Linked DNA regions of Macaca fascicularis. The main gene of each other region encodes a partner of the protein of the gene in region 3 in a complex. Links are inferred from orthologs where the notes say so. Each region holds a gene or a part of one and is shown on either strand. Other genes may lie near its edges. The genes, in order: DRC12, DRC9 and DRC4.

The links.
Region 1: DRC4 (region 3) and DRC12 share a complex: the UniProt entries of both Homo sapiens proteins name them as parts of the nexin-dynein regulatory complex. The link is inferred for Macaca fascicularis from reciprocal best matches to the Homo sapiens genes DRC4 and DRC12.
Region 2: DRC4 (region 3) and DRC9 share a complex: the UniProt entries of both Homo sapiens proteins name them as parts of the nexin-dynein regulatory complex. The link is inferred for Macaca fascicularis from reciprocal best matches to the Homo sapiens genes DRC4 and DRC9.

The regions. Positions count from the first base shown.
Region 1 is NC_088388.1:118,065,331-118,071,407, forward strand, and holds the start of DRC12 (dynein regulatory complex protein 12), read right to left. Parts: upstream 3,908-6,077; 5' UTR 3,865-3,907; intron 3,567-3,864; 5' UTR 3,555-3,566; coding exon 3,494-3,554; intron 3,068-3,493; coding exon 2,993-3,067; intron 1,924-2,992; coding exon 1,804-1,923; intron 953-1,803; coding exon 860-952; intron 1-859. UniProt on the Homo sapiens protein: Component of the nexin-dynein regulatory complex (N-DRC), a key regulator of ciliary/flagellar motility which maintains the alignment and integrity of the distal axoneme and regulates microtubule sliding in motile axonemes.
Region 2 is NC_088376.1:925,265-931,241, reverse strand, and holds part of DRC9 (dynein regulatory complex protein 9), read right to left. Parts: intron 3,397-5,977; coding exon 3,235-3,396; intron 2,048-3,234; coding exon 1,973-2,047; intron 1-1,972. UniProt on the Homo sapiens protein: Component of the nexin-dynein regulatory complex (N-DRC), a key regulator of ciliary/flagellar motility which maintains the alignment and integrity of the distal axoneme and regulates microtubule sliding in motile axonemes.
Region 3 is NC_088394.1:85,966,594-85,972,670, reverse strand, and holds the start of DRC4 (dynein regulatory complex subunit 4), read right to left. Parts: upstream 4,229-6,077; 5' UTR 4,198-4,228; coding exon 4,195-4,197; intron 1-4,194. UniProt on the Homo sapiens protein: Component of the nexin-dynein regulatory complex (N-DRC), a key regulator of ciliary/flagellar motility which maintains the alignment and integrity of the distal axoneme and regulates microtubule sliding in motile axonemes.

The DNA.
Region 1 (6,077 bases), on a different chromosome or scaffold from region 3:
TATGAACACTTTGGGACCAAAATTGTGCAAGACCTCATGTGTCATGCTGAGATATTTCAACATTATTTTGTAAGCAGGAGGCAAGAGAAGAGAAGCAAAGGCTTCCTAGTTTTTAAAAATATTTTTGCTTATTGGGAGTGTTTATTCATTTATTTAGTGAACAGTTATTTAGGACCTACCGGGTGCTAGGTCTTGTAAGTAAATAAGTCAAACATTTTCCCTTAGTTTCGTTGTAGAAATTAGCTAAACTAAAAGGGAATATGTTTTGCTCACAAGAGACATGGCAGTGGTGGGGAGTTAGGTAGGGCTGGACTTGGAGAGGAGGAAATGGGGTGTGACGCCTACCTCTTCTTTTTTATTTTTATTTATTTTTTTGAGACAGAGTTGCTCTGTCGCCCAGGCTGGAGTGCAATGGCGCGATCTCGGCTCACTGCAACCTCTGCCTCCCGGATTCAAGCAATTCTCCTGCCTCAGCCTCCCGAGTAGCTGGGATTACAGGTGTGCGCCACCACATCCGGCTAATTTTTATATTTTTAGTAGAGACAGGGTTTCACCATTTGGCCAGGCTGTTCTCGAACTCCTGACCTCAGGCGATCCGCCCGCCTTGGCCTCCCATAGTGCTGGGATTACAGGCCTGAGCCACTGCGCCTGGCACCTCTTCTTTACTTACAACAGAGATTCTTGGCATCCCGAACCCTCTGCTCCAGTCCTCGGTGGTGGAGGGTCAGTGAAAGTGGGGAAAGTGATCCCAGAGCCCAGGTGGCAGCTTTCTGGAGCAGAGACTTTGAAGTCTGCCCCTTCATGCTGGCCCTTGCTGCAACTCTTGGAGACAAGGGGCTTGGGGGATGGGGAAACCTACCTAGCTGCCCCCGAAGGCCCTTGACTTCTTCCTCCAGCTGCTTGCTGCGGGATTGCATATCCTCCTGCAGGGCATGGCACTGGCGACTCATCTCTGGGGTGGGGGCAGTAGGCCGCCAGGGACCCAGGTCGGAGATGGAGCGATGGAGAAAGGAAATGAAGTTGTGGGTGGGGAAGACTCTACTTGGTCTAGTGGAACAGGAGCACAAAGGCCTTCTTGGTTCTTCTTTTTCTTTTTCTTTTTTTTTTTTTTGAGACGGGGTCTCGCTCTGTCGCCCAGGCTGGAGTGCAGTGGTGCGATCTTGGCTCACTGCAAGCTCCGCCTCCCGGGTTCACCCCCTTCTCCTGCCTCAGTCTCCCGAGTAGCTGGGACTACAGGCACCTGCCACCACACCCGGCTAATTTTTTGCATTTTTAGTAGAGACGGAGTTTCACCATGTTAGCCAGGATGGTCTCGATCTCCTGACCTCGTGATCCGCCCGCCTCGGCCTCCCAAAGTGCTGGGATTACAGGTGTGAGCCACCACTCCCGGCCCATGGTCTTCTTGGTTCTTTTTGTGATTCTGAGAAGCTAGAGACCATGAAAACCTGAGGAAGGGAAAGGAAGCCCAACCCACCTCCCCCACCGTCCAGCTTTGGATGGGGATGCTAGTCCTTCTCCCCTCCCATAGGATGGTTGAGGTGATGGCTATGACTGCATGTGTATCCTACACAGCATCAAGCACATGGCACCAGGCATCCTGGCAGGCCCCTGCCTGGGATCCCAGGAACCTACCTGCCTTTGATTCCTGCAGGATCCTGCCTGATTTGTACTGTTCGGGGAAGACCAAGACCAGGCCTGGCAGTTGGAAGCCCTCCTTGTTTCCCTTCCTTGCATCATCTGACCCTGCTGGTTGTCTTCCTCCAGGCCCCTGTCTCCTGCCCACCTGCTCAACAGACCACACACCTGCATATATGGCCTTCCCTTCACTTCGGGCCCCTTCCAGCTCAGCCTCCACCCTTTGCAGCCTCTGCTTCAGCTGGTCTTCGGAAGCCTTGGCTCGACGGGCTTCATCCCTCCGTACAGCTGTGAGCAGTCCCAGAGCCACTGTCAGGACTGGCTGGGGCCCGCTAAATCAGCCCCCATGAACTTGATGAATTTTGCCCGTCTCTAGAAATCTGGTGGCGGGGCGTCCAGCCTCTTATTCTCTCTCTGGGTTTTGTTGTTTTTGTTTTTTATCCCTAGAGTCTCACAGGCTCCTCATTATTAAGAAGTAAAGACTCTCTCCATGTTCTGCCTATACAAAATAGCTTTCCGGATAGCCCGGCATGGTGGCTCATGCCTGTAATCCCAATATTTTGGGGGGCTTAGGTGGGAGAATTGCTTGAGGCCAGGAGTTTGAGACCTGCCTGGGCAACAGAGTGAGACCTTGTCTCTATAAGAAAAATAAATAGGGCCAGGCGCAGTGGCTCATGCCTGTAATCCCAGCACTTTGGGAGGCCAAGGTGGGAGGATCATGAGGTCAAGAGTTCGAGACCAGCTTGGCCAACATGGTGAAAACCTGTCTCTAATAAGAATACAAAAATTAGCCGGGTGTGGTGGCTGTGTGCCTGTAATCCCAGCTACTTGGGAGGCCGAGGCAGGGGAATCACTTGAGCCTGGGAGGCAGAGGTTGCAGTGAGCCAAGATCGCGCCACTGCACTCCAGCCTGGGCAACAGAGCACAGGACTCTGTCTTAAAAAAAAAGATAGTAAAATAAAATAAAATGAAATAATAAAATAAAATAAATTTTAAAAAAGAAAAATAAATAAATAAATAAATAAAGTAGCTAGGTAGGGTGGTGTGCACCAGCTACTCGTGAAGCTGAGGTGGGAAGATTGTTGGGGTCCAGGAGTTTGAGATTACAGTGAGCTATGATCACACCACTGCAGTCCAGCCTGGGCAATAGAGCAAGATTCTGTCTAAAAAAAAAAAAAGCTTCCTTTATCAACTCTCACTGCCCACCCCTCTCTCATTGTCTTTTTCCACTAGGGGATGGTTAGGGTTCAACTTAGCCCCCCACTGTATCTCCAACTCTCCAATCCCCCAGGATACAGAAATGCCCCATTTCACTTGCCCTGTTGCCCACCCCCATGCCAACTTCTACCCTCCTTACCCAAGTGGTCTCGGAGCAGCTCCTTCTCCAGCACCACCAGCCTGTGCCTGGACTCAGCCTCCACATCTGCACCTGCTGTGGCAAGTGGCAGAGCCTCAGCTCTTCGTGATCTCAGCATTCCTCACTCTCCTTGCGTCCTCGCCCCACACCCTGCACTTTTGCCACAGGAGACCTGAGGACCACTAAATGAGGGATCCATGGTGGCAGAGTCTACTGAAGTCAGCACTGTGTCCTTACCAACCAGCACATAACAGATATGCAAAATACACATGACAAATATATTAGGAAGGCACAAAGCTAGATGGTGCTTAAAGGACAGCGTGAGTGACCATTTCCCCACTTCCTCAGCTCCCTGCATCTGACTTCAAGGACACGAAAGAGGAAGGTCAAGAGAGTTCCATCCTGTCATGTAGAAGGCTGAATTCTCTCTGGAGGAGCTCTGCGTGGTCTTCATGCCAGAACATGGAGAAGCAGGGGGCACCTCCACCCACCATGACTCACCCCAGTTCTTTTTCTTCTGCGCCCCAGATTTCTTCCCTTTTTCTTTGTTTTTAAGTGGCATCTCCTTGCTGTCCTGGGAGAAGGAGGGGACCTTATGTTTAGGTCTGGACACAGGGATGCTTTCCTGACTGAATCAGGAGTCTCAGGGGAGTCTCCTGGTTCTACTCCAAATTTGCATCTCATACTCTTCAGAAAAGTCAGTTCACAGTCTCTTTGGAACCTCAGGCAGGGTTGGGGTCAACGGGGAGGGTGAAGTTTTTTCTCTCAACCAGGCTGACTGTACGGAAGTCACTCCTCACAACTCTCTTTTAGATAAATCCCTGTACCTGCTCCCCTCCCTCTTCCCATCATCCTCAACCCCCTCTTCCTACCTGTAGGATCCTCTCCTGCCAGTGTTGGGGCTCCCTGTGGAGTGACCCACCCGTGGGGAGTGGCAGAGAGAAGGCCCAACTAGCGAGGAGCCTGAGGCGGGGCCTGGGTCCTGGGAGCCAATCCTTGGTGGCAAATTTCTCTTGAGGGCAGGACTGAGGGCTGGAAGGTTGGGTTTCGGGAGGCTGTATGTTGTCCAGGCAACTGGGAAACATGGAGTTGGTAGGAAGGTGGAATGGGCTAAATCAGCTCACAAAGCTTAAAATATCAAGGTCTCAAAGGGTCAGTTCTTTCCTTATCCCAAAACCCTAAGTATAGTTTGAAAAGAAAGGGCTTTGGAGGCCGATTGGTTATGATTCATTGCCACGTAGACATGGCCTGCAATTTGGAGACTTCCAAATTCAGATGTACACATCTGAGATAATATGTTGTGCTGATACAGAGGAAAAGGACTGACAGTAGCCATGTTGGACAATTGACATCCCGAGGTCCCATCAGCAAAATGACATTAGTAGGTTTAAAACTGAAGATCTAAGCTGGGGGCGGTGGCTCATGCCTATAATCCCAACATTTTCAGAAGCTGAGGCAGGAGGATTACTTGAGGCCAGGAGTTCAAGACCAGCCTGGACAACACAGTGAGACCTCATTTCTACAAAAAATTAAAAAATTAGCCTGGCAGGGTGGTGCACACCTGTTAGTCTCAGCTACTCGGGAGGCTGAAGCAGGAGAACCACTTGAGCCTGGGAGGTTGAGGCAGCAGTGAGCTATGATTGCACCACTGCACTCCAGCCTGGATGACAGAGGGAGACCCTGTCTCAAACAAACAAACAAACAAACAAACAAAAACCCCAAACCACTGAAGATCCTCTTCAGTACACTGTGGAATGAGGGTAATAAGTACAGGAATAGGTAGTCGAGGGCGTTTCCCACTTCAGAGAAATGAGACACAAAGGAACAGCAGACCCATGGACTCTAGGGTACTGACCTAGAGGGATGCAAGTGTGCAGGAAAGTGCTCAGGTTAGAGACAAGACATTTGAGTTTGAGTCCCAACTGTGGATATGTAAACTGAGGCAAGCCATTTGACTTTGCTCAGCATCAGTTTCCTGATCTTTAAATGTTTGATTTTGTAGCTCTTGAAAAGCCTGTGTTTTAGCTAGGTGTTTACATGGCTATCTTCTCTCCTAGTTACTTAATCTATTGCTACATTTCCCCATTCCCTTGTGTGGTTGATTTTCAGACAGGTGTTGAGACATTGCTTTGTGAGGCTCCCTGCAGCATAGAGTTGGTTGGGGCTCCCTCTAGTGGACTTGTTTGACCTTCTCCTGAGTTTCCCACATTTTTGCTTTTAAATTATTTACTGGGCAATACTGGGGGTGACTCCCTTTGGGGATACTTCTTAGTGTCCTGCTGGAGCCAGGAGTGGCTGGAATAATTAATGTGGGGGAGAGAGTATGACAGGTGGCCCTCCCTTGTCAGGCAGCCTTCACTCTCCCTGCAGCTCTGTGCTATCCTGAGGCTTGCCATCTATCTGCCACTTGGATCTCTGGGCACCATACTGGTTAGAGTGAAAACAGCAGACACTTCAGGGCTTTTCTCCTTTTGGATTAGGGGACCTGCAGACCGTTTCTTTAGGTTTTTTGTTTGTTTGTTTTGTTTTTGTTTTTGTTTTGAGACAGCGTCTCGCTCTGTTGCCCAGGCTGGAGTGCAGTGGCACGATCTCGGCTCACTGCAAGCTCCACCTCCCGGGTTCATGCTGCGACTGCAGGCATCCACCACCACGCCCCGCTAATTTTTTTGTATTTTTAGTAGAGATGGGGTTTCACTGTGTTAGCCAGGATGGACTCGATCTCCTGACCTCGTGATCCACCCGCCTCGGCCTCCCAAAATTCTGGGATTACAGGCGTGAGCCACCGCGCCTGGCATTTTTTTTTTCTCAGTGTCTCTCTCTGTCACCCAGGCTGGAGTGCAGTGGCATGATCACGGCTCACTGCAGCCTCAGCCTCTCCAGGCTCTGGTGATCTTCCCACCTCAACCTCCTGAGTAGCCGGGACTATAGGCGCATGCCACCACACCTGGCTAATTTTTATATTTTTTGTAGAGACGGGGTTTACCATATTGGCCAGCATGGTCTTGAACTCCTGGCCTCAAGTGATCTGCCTGCCTTGGCCTCCCAAGTTTCTTGGATTACAGGCGTGAGCCACTGCACCAGGCTA
Region 2 (5,977 bases), on a different chromosome or scaffold from region 3:
GGTGGCTCACGCCTGTAATCCCAGCACTTTGGGAGGCTGAGGCAGGTGGATTACCTGAGGTCAGGAGTTCTAGACCAGCCTGGCCAACATGGTGAAACCCCGTCTCTACTAAAAATACAAAAATTAGCCAGGCGTGGTGACAGGCACCTGTAGTCCCAGCTACTCGGGAGGCTGAGGCAGGAGAATCGCTTGAACCCAGGAGGCGGAGGTTGCAGTGAGCCGAGATCATGCCACTGCACTCCAGCCTGGATGGTAAAGCAAGACTGCATCTCAAAAAAACCCCCAAAAAACAAAGTAAAGAAAGACTCCAGCTACACTTAGACATACTTCTAACCTTAGATATATTATAGACCCAGCTTGGTTATTAGTATTGAAAATGCTTTTAAAACCACTTCTGTCATATATATTTCACATAAGAAGAAATAAATTGAGTAAACATGGAAAAATGTTATGTTCACTTCTATTAATAAGCAAAAAAAACCAAAAAACAAAAAAAAACAAAACAACTCATTAAATTAGCAGACTTTGAAAAATATTTAAAATGGCTACTAATGTTGAAGAGACCTTGAAATGACTGCCTGCAACACTGCTAGCGGCAGCACAGGTTAGAGAGTCGGCAATGTTTATCAAAAGTCACAAAATACCAGTCTCTGAAATAATCATCTTATGATTGAGATTTACTTTTAGTAAATAGTTGCCATGAAGAAAAATAGTTCTTTGGGCTAAGCTTTAATAAGTGCATTATTTATAATAATAAAACTTTGGAAACAACCTAAATATTAAAAAAAAAAATTTGTAACAAACTATGGCACAACCATTCAATGGAACATTAAACAACGATTTTCAATTATTTTATAAAGAAACTGTAATAACATAAAAAATGAAAAGCAATGAGTCATTTTAAAAATCCTCACTCAACTGGGAATGTTATTTTTATAACGTAAAAAATTAGTAAATCTTTTTTTTTTTTTTTTTTAGAGACAGAGTCTCGCTCTGTCACCCAGGCGGGAGTGAGTGGTGTGATCTCGGCTCACTGCAAGCTCTGCCTCCCAGGTTCAAACGATTCTTCTGCCTCAGCCTCCCGAATAGCTGGGATTACAGGGCTGCATCACCACGCCCGGCTAATTTTTGTATTTTTAGTAGAGATGGGGTTTCATCATGTTGACCTGGCTGGTCTAGAACTCCTGACCTCAGGTGATCCGCCGGCCTCGGCCTCTCAAAGTGCTGAGATTACAGGCGTGAGCCACTGCACCTGGCCTTTATTTTTCTTTTTTATTTATTGGCCACTATACTAATGGGAAAACATTTTAATATAGTCATAATTAAAAATAATTAATTTTAAAATTATGTCTTTTTTTTTGAGGCGGGGTCTTGCTCTGTTGCCCAGCTGGAGTACAGTGGCACAATCTCAGCTCACTGCAGCCTCTGCCTCCCAGGTTCAAGCAATTCTCCCACCTCAGCTTCCTGAGTAGCTGGGATTACAGGTGCCTGTCACCACGCCTGGCTAATTGTTGTATTTTTAATAGAGAGGGGGTTTCACCATGTTGGCCAGGCGGGTCCCGAACTCCTGACCTCAGGTGATCCACCCGCTTCAGACTCCCAAAGTGCTGAGATTACAGGCGTGAGCCACTGTGCCCGGCCCATAAATTTTTAAGTCATAATTTGACTTACTAAATTTTGTCATAAATTAAGTCATAATTTAAAAATTATGAGTATACAGCAATATAGGAATCAAAAAATTTCTTATCTAAGCTCAATGATAAAAGCGGAAAACAAAATTTTACTTGTACTCTCTCAGATTGTAACTATATAAGATATCTATTCAGATGCACAACCCTGAAATAACATGTGAGCTCAAGCTCATTAGGCTGAAAGAATGATGGCTGGTTTTTCTTCAAAATATTTTTTTTGTTTCCTCAGTATGAGCAGAGTACAAAAAGACTCAAAGCACAGAAAAGTTTTGGTGACCCACCTGCTGCTGCTTTCTAAGGAACATTTCAATGTCCATATGAATCCGGGCCTCTTCTTCGGTTTTCATCCTGAGTTTCTGTAAGAACAATAATCAGACATCAGCACGTCTTCCCTGCAGGGCTGTGAATCAGAAGTTCTCAAGATTAGAGGAGCAGCTTGGTCGGCAGCTCAGGTTTCCTTTACCAGCTGGGATGCCGGGAATTCAGTTTCGTGCAATTCCTGTTCACAAACACCGCAGAGACACATGACGCGGCACTGTCTGGACTGTGTTAGTGTCCCTAACGAAAGGTGCGCAATCCCGTGAATTGAAAAGAGGTGCCCATTGAAGGAGAGAAACGGTGCGCCAAGGGCACAAGGCTGTGGGGCCTAAAAAAGGGAAATTCCAGAGTGCCAGGAAGACTGTTGTCGTGGCCTTAAGCCACGTTAGTCTCAGAGCAAGGAGTCCTCCCACACACAAATTCCATGGTCTAAGGACGTTTGTTCCTTCTTCCGTCTTCCCATCTGCCTGCTGCTCTTTGCGTGTGTGTGTGTGTGTGTGTGTGTGTGTGTGTGTGTGTGTGTGTGAGACAGAGAGAGAGAGAGAGAGAGAGAGAGAGAGAGAAGGGAGTCTCCCTATGTTGCCCAGGCTGGCTTCAAACTCAAGGATCCTCCTGCCTCCCTTCCAATTAGCTGGGACTAGTGCCTGGCTTTGTGTATGTGTGTGCAGTGTGTGTGTGTGTGTGTGTGTGTGTGTGTGTGTGTGTGTGCGCGCGCGCGCGCCATTTCGCATTCCCCTCAAAGAAGATCTACCACTTTCTTCCTCCTGATATTTTTCACCATGACTTCTCATCTCCATAAATTCAGGTTTGAATGAAGTTCACCTCTCAAGATGCTGTATTTCTTACTGGAGGAGTGAAAAGTACTGGCTAGATAAAACAAACAGCAGCAAAATCCTGCCATAACTAAGGATCTTGTTTTGCCCTCTCCCTATAATTAGAGAAATGGCGATTGGTTTGATAAAATAAGAAGTGACCGAGGAGAGAAAGTACAGCCAATTTTCAAAGTCATTATGAGGCAGGAGAAGGAGGCTACAGCCCGTTGGAATCTCCGCTTGCGAACATGTGTATCCTCATTTAGGCTTCCATTTTCAACCTCAAGTGGAGGGGCTGTTGCCGAGAGAGATGGAGGAAATCTTCATCTCCCTCCTTTGTTAGCTGAGACAGGATCAGGAGTGACAGCTCAAATGCCATCTCCTGGGTTCTTCACTAATGTCCCAGGGATTACCTCAATCTCTTCCAGCAAGACTTCCTCTGTTCTGTTACACTTTCTCTGGGTCTGGGCAATCTGCAGCTCAGTATTGGTTTTCATGTAGCGATTCTCCAAGTTGGATTTTGCTTTCATCTCTTGCAGTTGGTCCTTGAGGTTAGCAATATATTCATTCTGACTCTGCAATGGAAAGACCAGGTTTCTAAATTGAAAATACATTCTACCGCCATTCAGTTCAGCCAGTGGCTTAAGGTTCCCTTTTATAAGTGTAAATCAATAAGGAACGGGAACTAGTTTTCCGCTGTCACACAACGGGAAATTTAGCCAACAATCATGAAGAGAGGAAAGTGAGTAATACAGCAGTTCGAAGAATCAGGGCGAATCAGGGCGGAGATTAGTTCCCAGGCACATTACTGGTATGTCCATATTTCCCACACAGATTTCTCATTTTGGTAGGAAGAACACTGGTCAAAATGATGAAAAGAACTGACTTCCCACCCAGGCCTCCAGCTGTGTGAACTTGGCCTAGTCAAATCTCCAACTTTTTTACTTTCTATAAAACACACACACACACACACACACACAACACCCACCCTGACTGAAGTATCTCAGAGATTATTAGGTTTCATTGAGAACACGTGTGAAAACGCTTTCTTTTTGCAGGTCACCAAGTGCTTGGCAATTGCAAGGACTCAATAGTCATTAAGAAAAATATTTATTCAGCACCAGGCTGAATATTTATTCAGCACCAGGCTCTTCCTAGAGCTAGGCTCTAGGAAAATCATGGAGATCTAAACAGACATATTCCCTGCCCTCATAGAGCTTACAGTCTAATAGAAGAGAGGTGGTTAAAAAGAGACAAACACATGTGTAAACTTTCAAAAATTGTGCAAAATGATAGAAAAGGAAAGCTTGACAGGCTGTGGGAGGAAATAACAAGGGAGGAGTCCATTCGACTCTGGAAGGCCTGAGAGGGACTCTCTCGGGAAAGTGATGGTTCATTCGATGTACATTAGACTCTGGAAGGTCTGAGAGGGACTCTTGGGAAAGCGATAGTTCATTCGAGGTACATTAGACTCTGGAAGGCCTGAGAGGAACTCTCTCCAGAAAGTGATGGTTCATTCGAGGTACATTAGACTCTGGAAGGCCTGAGAGGAACTCTCTCCAGAAAGTGATGGTTCATTCGAGGTACATTAGACTCTGGAAGGCCTGAGAGGAACTCTCTCCAGAAAGTGATGGTTCATTCGAGGTACATTAGACTCTGGAAGGTCTGAGAGGGACTCTCTCAAGGAAGCGATGGTTCATTCAATACCTGAAGGATACGTAAGCCCACCCCATGAAAAACAGGCTTGGCCAGGCACCGGGACTCACGCCTGTAATCCCAGCACTTTGGGAGGCTGAGGCAGGGGCATCACCTTAGGTCAGTAGTTTGAGACCAGCTTGGCCAACATGGTGAAACCCCATCTCTACTAAAAATATGAAAAATAGCTGGGCATGCTGGCGTGTGCCTGTAATCCCAGCTACGCGGGAGGCTGAGGCAGAAGAATCGCTTGAACCCGGGAGGTGGGGGTTGAAGTGAGCTGAGACCGCGCCACTGCACTCCAGCCTGGGTGACAGAATGAGACTCTGTCTCAAAAAAGAAAGAAAAGAAAAAGAAGAAGAAAAAAGGAAAAAAGAATAGAAAAATAGGGTTAAGGGAACTCTAAAAAAAAAAATAAGAAAAAGTATATGCCCAAATCCTGAAGCCATCAAGACCTGAATACATTCCAGGAATGGAAAGAAAACTCCGGAGGCTCTAGCCTAGTGAGGGTTGAGGGGACGACAGGATGAGGCTGGAGGTAGGTAAGGGCACCACACAGGACCTCGGACGCCTGACTGAGAAATTCAGGTTTTATTCCAACTGTGGTGGGAATCCTTGGAAAGCTTTTAGTCAGGGAGGTAACATTTGTTTGAAAAGAACTGTTTGGAAGAATCATTGTGTGAGTGAGTCCACAGGGAGGTGCCCTGACAGCACAGCAAACAAGCACACAACCAGCAGCAAAAGTGCTTCAACCGAGGTCCGCCCTCCTCTAGACATCAACCGCCTTTCTTCTCTTTTTTTACTTTTTTTGAGACAGAGTCTTGCTCTGTTGCCCAGGCTGGAGTGCAGTGGCGTGATCTAGGCTCACTGCAACCTCCGCCTCCCGGATACAAGCGATTCTCTGCCTCAACCTTCTAAGTAGCTGGGATTACAGGCATGCGCCACCTCGCCCGGCTAATTTTGTATTTTTAGTAGAGACGGGGTTTCTCTACGTTGGTCAGGATGGTCTTGATCTCCTGACTTCAGGTGATCCACCTGCCTCGGCCTCCCAAAGTGCTTGGATTACAAACGTGAGCCACCGCGCCCGGCCTCCAACCGCCTTTCATCTTAACCATTAAGTAGGGTAGAATTAGTTCTTTTTTATTAACAATTTTTTTTTTTTCAGAGACAGGATCTCCCTCTGTCACGCAGGCTGGAGTGTAGTGGCTTGATCACAACTCACTATAACCTCCACTTCCTGGGCTCGAGCGATCTTCCCGAGTAGCTAGTACTGCAGGCGCATGTCACTACGCCTGGCTAACTTTTTACTATTTCTAGAGATGGGGTCTCAGGGAGTCTCACTCTGTTGCGCAGGTTGGTCTCAAACTCTTGGCTTCAAGGGATCCTCCTGCCTTGGCTTCCTAAAGTGCTGGGATCACAGACATGAGCCACTGTGCCCGGCTTTTTGTTGTTGTTGTTGTT
Region 3 (6,077 bases):
ACCCAGGCTGGAGTGGAATGGCGTGATCTCAGCTCACTGCAAGCTCCATCTCCCGGGTTCAAGCGACTCTCCTGCCTCAGCCTCCTGAGTAGCTGGGATTACAGGCACGCACCACCATGTCTGGCAAATTTTTTGTATTTTTAGTAGAGACAGGGTTTCACTATGTTGGCCAGACTGGTCCCACGCTCCTGACCTCGTGATCTGCCCGCCTCGGCCTCCCAAAGTGCCGGGATTACAAGTGTGAGCCACTGCGACTGGCCCATTTATTTTCATTTATGTTTCATTTAGTCTTGAGTGAAAATATTAGGTGGAGCCAGATGCCGTGGCTCACACCTGTAATCCCAGCACTTTGGGAGGCCGAGGTGGGCAGATCACTTAAGATCAGGAGTTCAAGACCAGCCTGGCCAACATGGTGAAACCCCGTCTCTACTAAAAACACAAAAAAATTAGCCAGGCGTGGTGGTGGGCACCTGCAGTCCCATCTTCTCGCGAGGCCGAGGCAGGAGAATGGCGTGAACCCAGCAGGCAGAGCTTGCAGTGAGCCAAGATCGCGTCACTGCACTCCAGCCTGGGCGACAGAGCGAGACAAGAAAGAAGGAAAGAAGAAGGAAAGAAGGAAGGAAGGAAGGAACAAAGGAAGGAAGGAAGGAAGGAAGGAAGGAAGGAAGGAACGAAGGAACGAAGGAAGGAACGAAGGAAGGAACGAAGGAAGGAAGGAAGGAAGGAAGGAAGGAAGGAAGGAAGGAAGGAACGAAGGAAGGAACGAAGGAAGGAAGGAAGGAAGGAAGGAAGGAAGGAAGGAACGAAGGAAGGAACGAAGGAAGGAACGAAGGAAGGAAGGAAGGAAGGAGGGAAGGAAGGAAGGAGGGAAGGAAGGAAGGAAAGGGAAGGAAGGAAGGAGGGAAGGAAGGAAGGAAAGGGAAGGAAGGAAGGAGGGAAGGAAGGAAGGAAAGGGAAGGAAGGAAGGAAAGGGAAGGAAGGAAGGAAGGAAAGAAGAGAGAGAGAAAGAAAAAGAAAATATTATGTGGAAATTTTAGAAAACACTGATGAGAAGAAAACAGAAAAATTATCATCCATATTCCTTGGTCCAAGGATCCAACAGACCGAGGCCCATATTCCCACAACCTAATAGAAATAGAAGTAGTTTGGTAGTGGTTTTTTTTTTTTTTTTTTTTTTTTTTTTGAGACGGAGTCTGGCTCTGTCGCCCGGGCTGGAGTGCAGTGGCCGGATCTCAGCTCACTGCAAGCTCCGCCTCCCGGGTTTACGCCATTCTCCTGCCTCAGCCTCCCGAGTAGCTGGGACTACAGGCGCCCGCCGCCTCGCCCGGCTAGTTTTTTGTATTTTTTTAGTAGAGACGGGGTTTCACCGTGTTCGCCAGGATGGTCTCGATCTCCTGACCTCGTGATCCGCCCTCTCGGCCTCCCAAAGTGCTGGGATTACAGGCTTGAGCCACCGCGCCCGGCCGGTAGTGGTTTTTTTTGTTTGTTTGTTTGTTTGTTTTGAGATGAAGTCTTGCTCTGTCACCCAGGTTGGAGTGCAGTGGCACAATCCTGGCTCACTGCAACTGGAACAGGAATTAAAAGAAATTAAAAAGTGTGTAAGCAGAAACTCAGTTGTATGTAAGAAAACCCAATCTCCCTGAAAGAGAAAGAGCTGGAGTGCTTTAAAAAGTAACTGCCTGTCGGCTGGGCGCGGTGGCTCAAGCCTGTAATCCCAGCACTTTGGGAGGCCGAGACGGGCGGATCACGAGGTCAGGAGATCGAGACCATCCTGGCCAACACGGTGAAACCCCGTCTCTACTAAAAAATACAAAAAACTAGCCGGGCGAGGTGGCGGGCGCCTGTAGTCCCAGCTACTCGGGAGGCTGAGGCAGGAGAATGGCGGGAACCCGGGAGGCGGAGCTTGCAGTGAGCTGAGATCCGGCCACTGCACTCCAGCCCGGGAGAGAGAGCGAGACTCCGTCTCAAAAAATAAATAAATAAATAAATTAAAAAAAAGAAAAAAAAGTAACTGCCTGTTTTTTGGTGGTAGTGAGCCTGATCTCTCCTCCCTTCCCAGGCATTGTGAAGACCCTGTTTCTCTAGCGCAGCTGCAAGGTCACTAGGCAGATAAACTCGTCGCAAAACATGTTTTTCCTTAAAAAGTAAGAAATGATGTAACGTACGTTTCAACTGAACAACTGTCTTTGCTTCTTGCGTCTGTAGTATGCTTCCCCCTGCACAGATCTCCCGTCTGCCACACGAAACGCTTAAAAGGTAACTTGGCCGAGTGCAGTGGCTCGTGCCTGTAATCCCAGCACTTTGGGAGGCCGAGGCGGGCGGATCACAAGGTCACGAGATTGAGACCATCCTGGCTAACACGGTGAAACCCCATCTCTACTTAAAAAATACAAAAAATTAGCCAGGCGTGGTGGTGTACGCCTGTAGTCCCAGGTACTCGGTAGGCTGAGGCAGGAGAATGGTGCGGAGCTTGCAGTGAGCTGAGATCCGGCCACTGCACTTCAGCCTGGGCAACAGAGCGAGACTCCATCTCAAAAAAAAAAAGGTAACTTGACTCTTTGTTCAGGGCTCAGTCCTTTGGATGTTAATCTGACTGGGCCAGTGCACCTAAATAATTAATAAATATCCTCCTGAACTGCATCAGTCTGATTCCTTAAAAATCCCACTGCACAACCTCTACCTTCCAGGTTCAAGCAATTCTCCTGCCTCAGCCTCCCAAGTAGCTGGGACTACAGGTGCACACCACCACACTCAGGAAATTTTTTTTTTTTTTTTGTATTTTTAGTAGAGACAGGGTTTCACCATGTTGGCCAGGCTGGTCTCCAACTCCTGACCTCAAGTGATCCACCCACCTTGGCCTCCCAACGTGCTGGGTTTACGGGTGTCAGCTACCATGCCCCGCCTTTGTTTTTGTTTTTGTTTTGTTAGAGACGTAGTCTTGCTCTGTTGCCAGGCTGGAGTGCACTGGTGCCATCTCAGCTCACTGCAAGCTCCGCCTCCCAGGTTCACGCCATTCTCCTGCCTCAGCCTCCCGAGTAGCTGGAACTACAGGTGCACACCACCACGCCCAGCTAATTTCTGTATTTTTACTAGATACAGAATTTCACCATGTTGGCCAGGATGGTCTCGATCTCTTGACCTCAAGATCCGCCTGCCTCGGCCTCGCAAAGAGCTGGGATTACAGGTGTGAGTCACGGCGCCAAGACTCCTGGCCTAGTTTGGTAGTTTCTTTCACAGTCTGTTTTCAGAAGACCATTCCTGGGCCAAAAAACTCATCCACTTAAATCTTAATTCGTAATGTACTGCTCTCTTTCTAATCCCTCCACTCCAAGAAGGCTACCTCATCAGAAAGCCCTAAAGGCCGCAGAGGAAGGTTCAGCATCACTTAGCATTTGGGACCTTCACAGCCAGCTGCAGGGACTTGGTGGGGCTCCCAGAGCTTTCCTCCCCCACCAGCTGAAACCCACCCTGCCACACCTGCCCAGAAATTGAGTTACTGACAATTCCTGTATCACAAAGGGAGAGCCCTTTACACGAGAAAGACAGAGATGGCGCTGATGAGGCCACGAGCTCCGCCTTCCTCTTCTCGGTCTGGGCCTGACTCCTGCCAGGCTTTCTAAGGGAACAGTGGTTCCTGTATCCCAAGGTTGTGCCCTGGGCACTCCAAGGGCACTGGACCTGTCCAGGCCTCCTTGGTGTAGAGGGATCCCTAGCCACTCTGGTGTGCCCCAGGCTCTCCATTCCGGAGACCAAAGGGCTTAGGGTAATCCCTGCCCCCGGCTCTATTCAATGGGCACCCTGGTGCGCTGCAAAGCCCCTGTGAGGTGAAACCCTAGGTCCCAGGGATCCAACAGACCGAGTCTCCCATTCCAGGATGGGAGTCCCCTTGACGCATTTTCACTCTTCTGGGGACCATGCGCTGCGGACCCTGGGTCCTGGGCTTTCTACGACCACCCCAGGGAGCACAGGGCTCTGGACAGCCCAGGTCTCAGCTCCGAGTGCGGGCAGGCCCCGGGGCCAGGAGCATCCTGAGTTTGCCCCACGGAGACCCTCACAAGAGCACCGAGCTCTCAATTCCAGGAACCCAGCGCTCCAGTCCTCCCATTCCCAGGGTCTCTGTGTACCGAGGCCTCCCTGCCCCGAGGTCTCCAGGCCCCTGCCGAGGACCTCAGCCCCGCTCCAGCCCCTGCTCACCATGACGCCAGCGGACAGGCCCAGCCGCGACTCCCGGACCAGCGCGCCCGCCCCCCGGAAGCCACGCCGTTTCCCGGCAACCGCTGGGCGCTACCGCGAGAAGTCACCAGATCCTCGCGAGACTCCGCCGGGCCCCAGCCCTGCCAACCGCGGGAGTGCGTCCCTAGAGACGGGCGTCAGGAAGGAACCCGGTAGTGAAAGTTGGGAAGATCTCGCCGGCAGCCCAGAAGCCCAGAAGCCTTTCGCTGCAGGACATGTTTTGCTTATTGCTGGAACCTAAGCTCCATGAGGAGAGAACCGTTCACTTCTATCCTTCAGCGCCTAGAACAGCACAGAGCACGTGCTCAGTAAAGATGTGCTGAGTGGCTGGATGAGTGAATGAAGGACCGTTGAATAAATGGTCATCTGCCACCCAGGGCTCTGAAACATCACCCAAATGAGATTCAAATCTGGGCAAAGACTCTACCCGCTGGGATTCACTCACCCCACCCGCCCCGCTTTGAGGGGTCCTCCCAGCTGCTGCGCTGGTGGCTTTACACACACCTCAAAAACGTAGAAATAGGAAAGAAAAATAGGTTCCAGTTTAGTTCCAAATGTTTGAAATCAGGAAGTATCCCTTTCACAAAAATAAACTGCTCTTCCTGAAAAGGCCTCCTCCCCAGTCCTCAGGGATGAAGAGAAACCAGAGACTTTCCGACAGGCCCTGCAGAAAACACACAGTTGTCACTTTCCTTTTCTAACTAATCTCTTGTTCTGAAGACTGCTAGGCATTTTACAATTTCTAAAGTGAACCTGCCATCCCTGAAACCACCCTGTTACCTACATACAACCATCTACGTCACCCAGATGGCTGAGTTTGTCATAAACAGGTGCTTCTTGCTTTTTTTCTTTTCTTTTTTTTGGAGACAGGGTCTCCTTCTGTCGCCTAGGCTGTGATCACAACTCACTGCAGCCTCGACCTCCTGGACTCAAGCAATCCTCCCACCTCAGCCTCCTGAGAAGCTGGGACTACAGGTGTGAGACACCACACCCAGCTTTTTTAAATAAGTTTTTTATAGAGATGGGGTCATGCTTTATGGCCCAGAATGGTCTCAAACTCCTGGTCTCAAGCGATCCTCCTGCCTCAGCCTCCCAAAGTGCTGGGAGCACAACGTGAGCCCCACACCTGGCCGTAAGCTGTCATCTTTAACATCTTCTTAAAAAGTGGTCATCGGCCGGGCGCGGTGGCTCAAGCCTGTAATCCCAGCACTTTGGGAGGCCGAGACAGGTGGATCACGAGGTCAGGAGATCGAGACCATCCTGGCTAACACAGTGAAACCCCGTCTCTACTTAAAAAAAAAAAAAAAACTAGCCAGGCGAGGTGGCGGGCGCCTGTAGTCCCAGCTACTCAGGAGGCTGAGGCAGGAGAATGGCGTAAACCCGAGAGGCGGAGCTTGCAGTGAGCTGAGATCCGGCCACTGCACTCCAGCCTGAGCGACAGAGCAAGACTCTGTCTCAAAAAAAAAAAAAAAAAAAAAAGTGGTCATCTACTTGGGAGGTTGAGGTGGGACGATCATTTGAGCCCTGGAGGTGGAGGTTGCAGTGAGCCAAGATCACACCACTGCACTCCAGCCTAGGTAACAGAGTGAGACCTGAGACCATGTCTCGAAAAAAAAAAAAAAGGTCTTGCAGCAGATCTTGTTCTCCTGTGTGTCTTGGATGAAGATTCCAGAATCTATGCTCATAGAAAGTTGTGCTGGGGGCAAAGGGTGAGAAATGAAAGGCTTGGTGGACTTAGGTCTTCCCGTCCAGCTCATGCTGCCACATGAGCTGGGCTTGCTCAGGCCTCGGGCACCCACACAGTGGTGGGAATCTGAGAACCACTGTGATGAGAGACTTCCTGC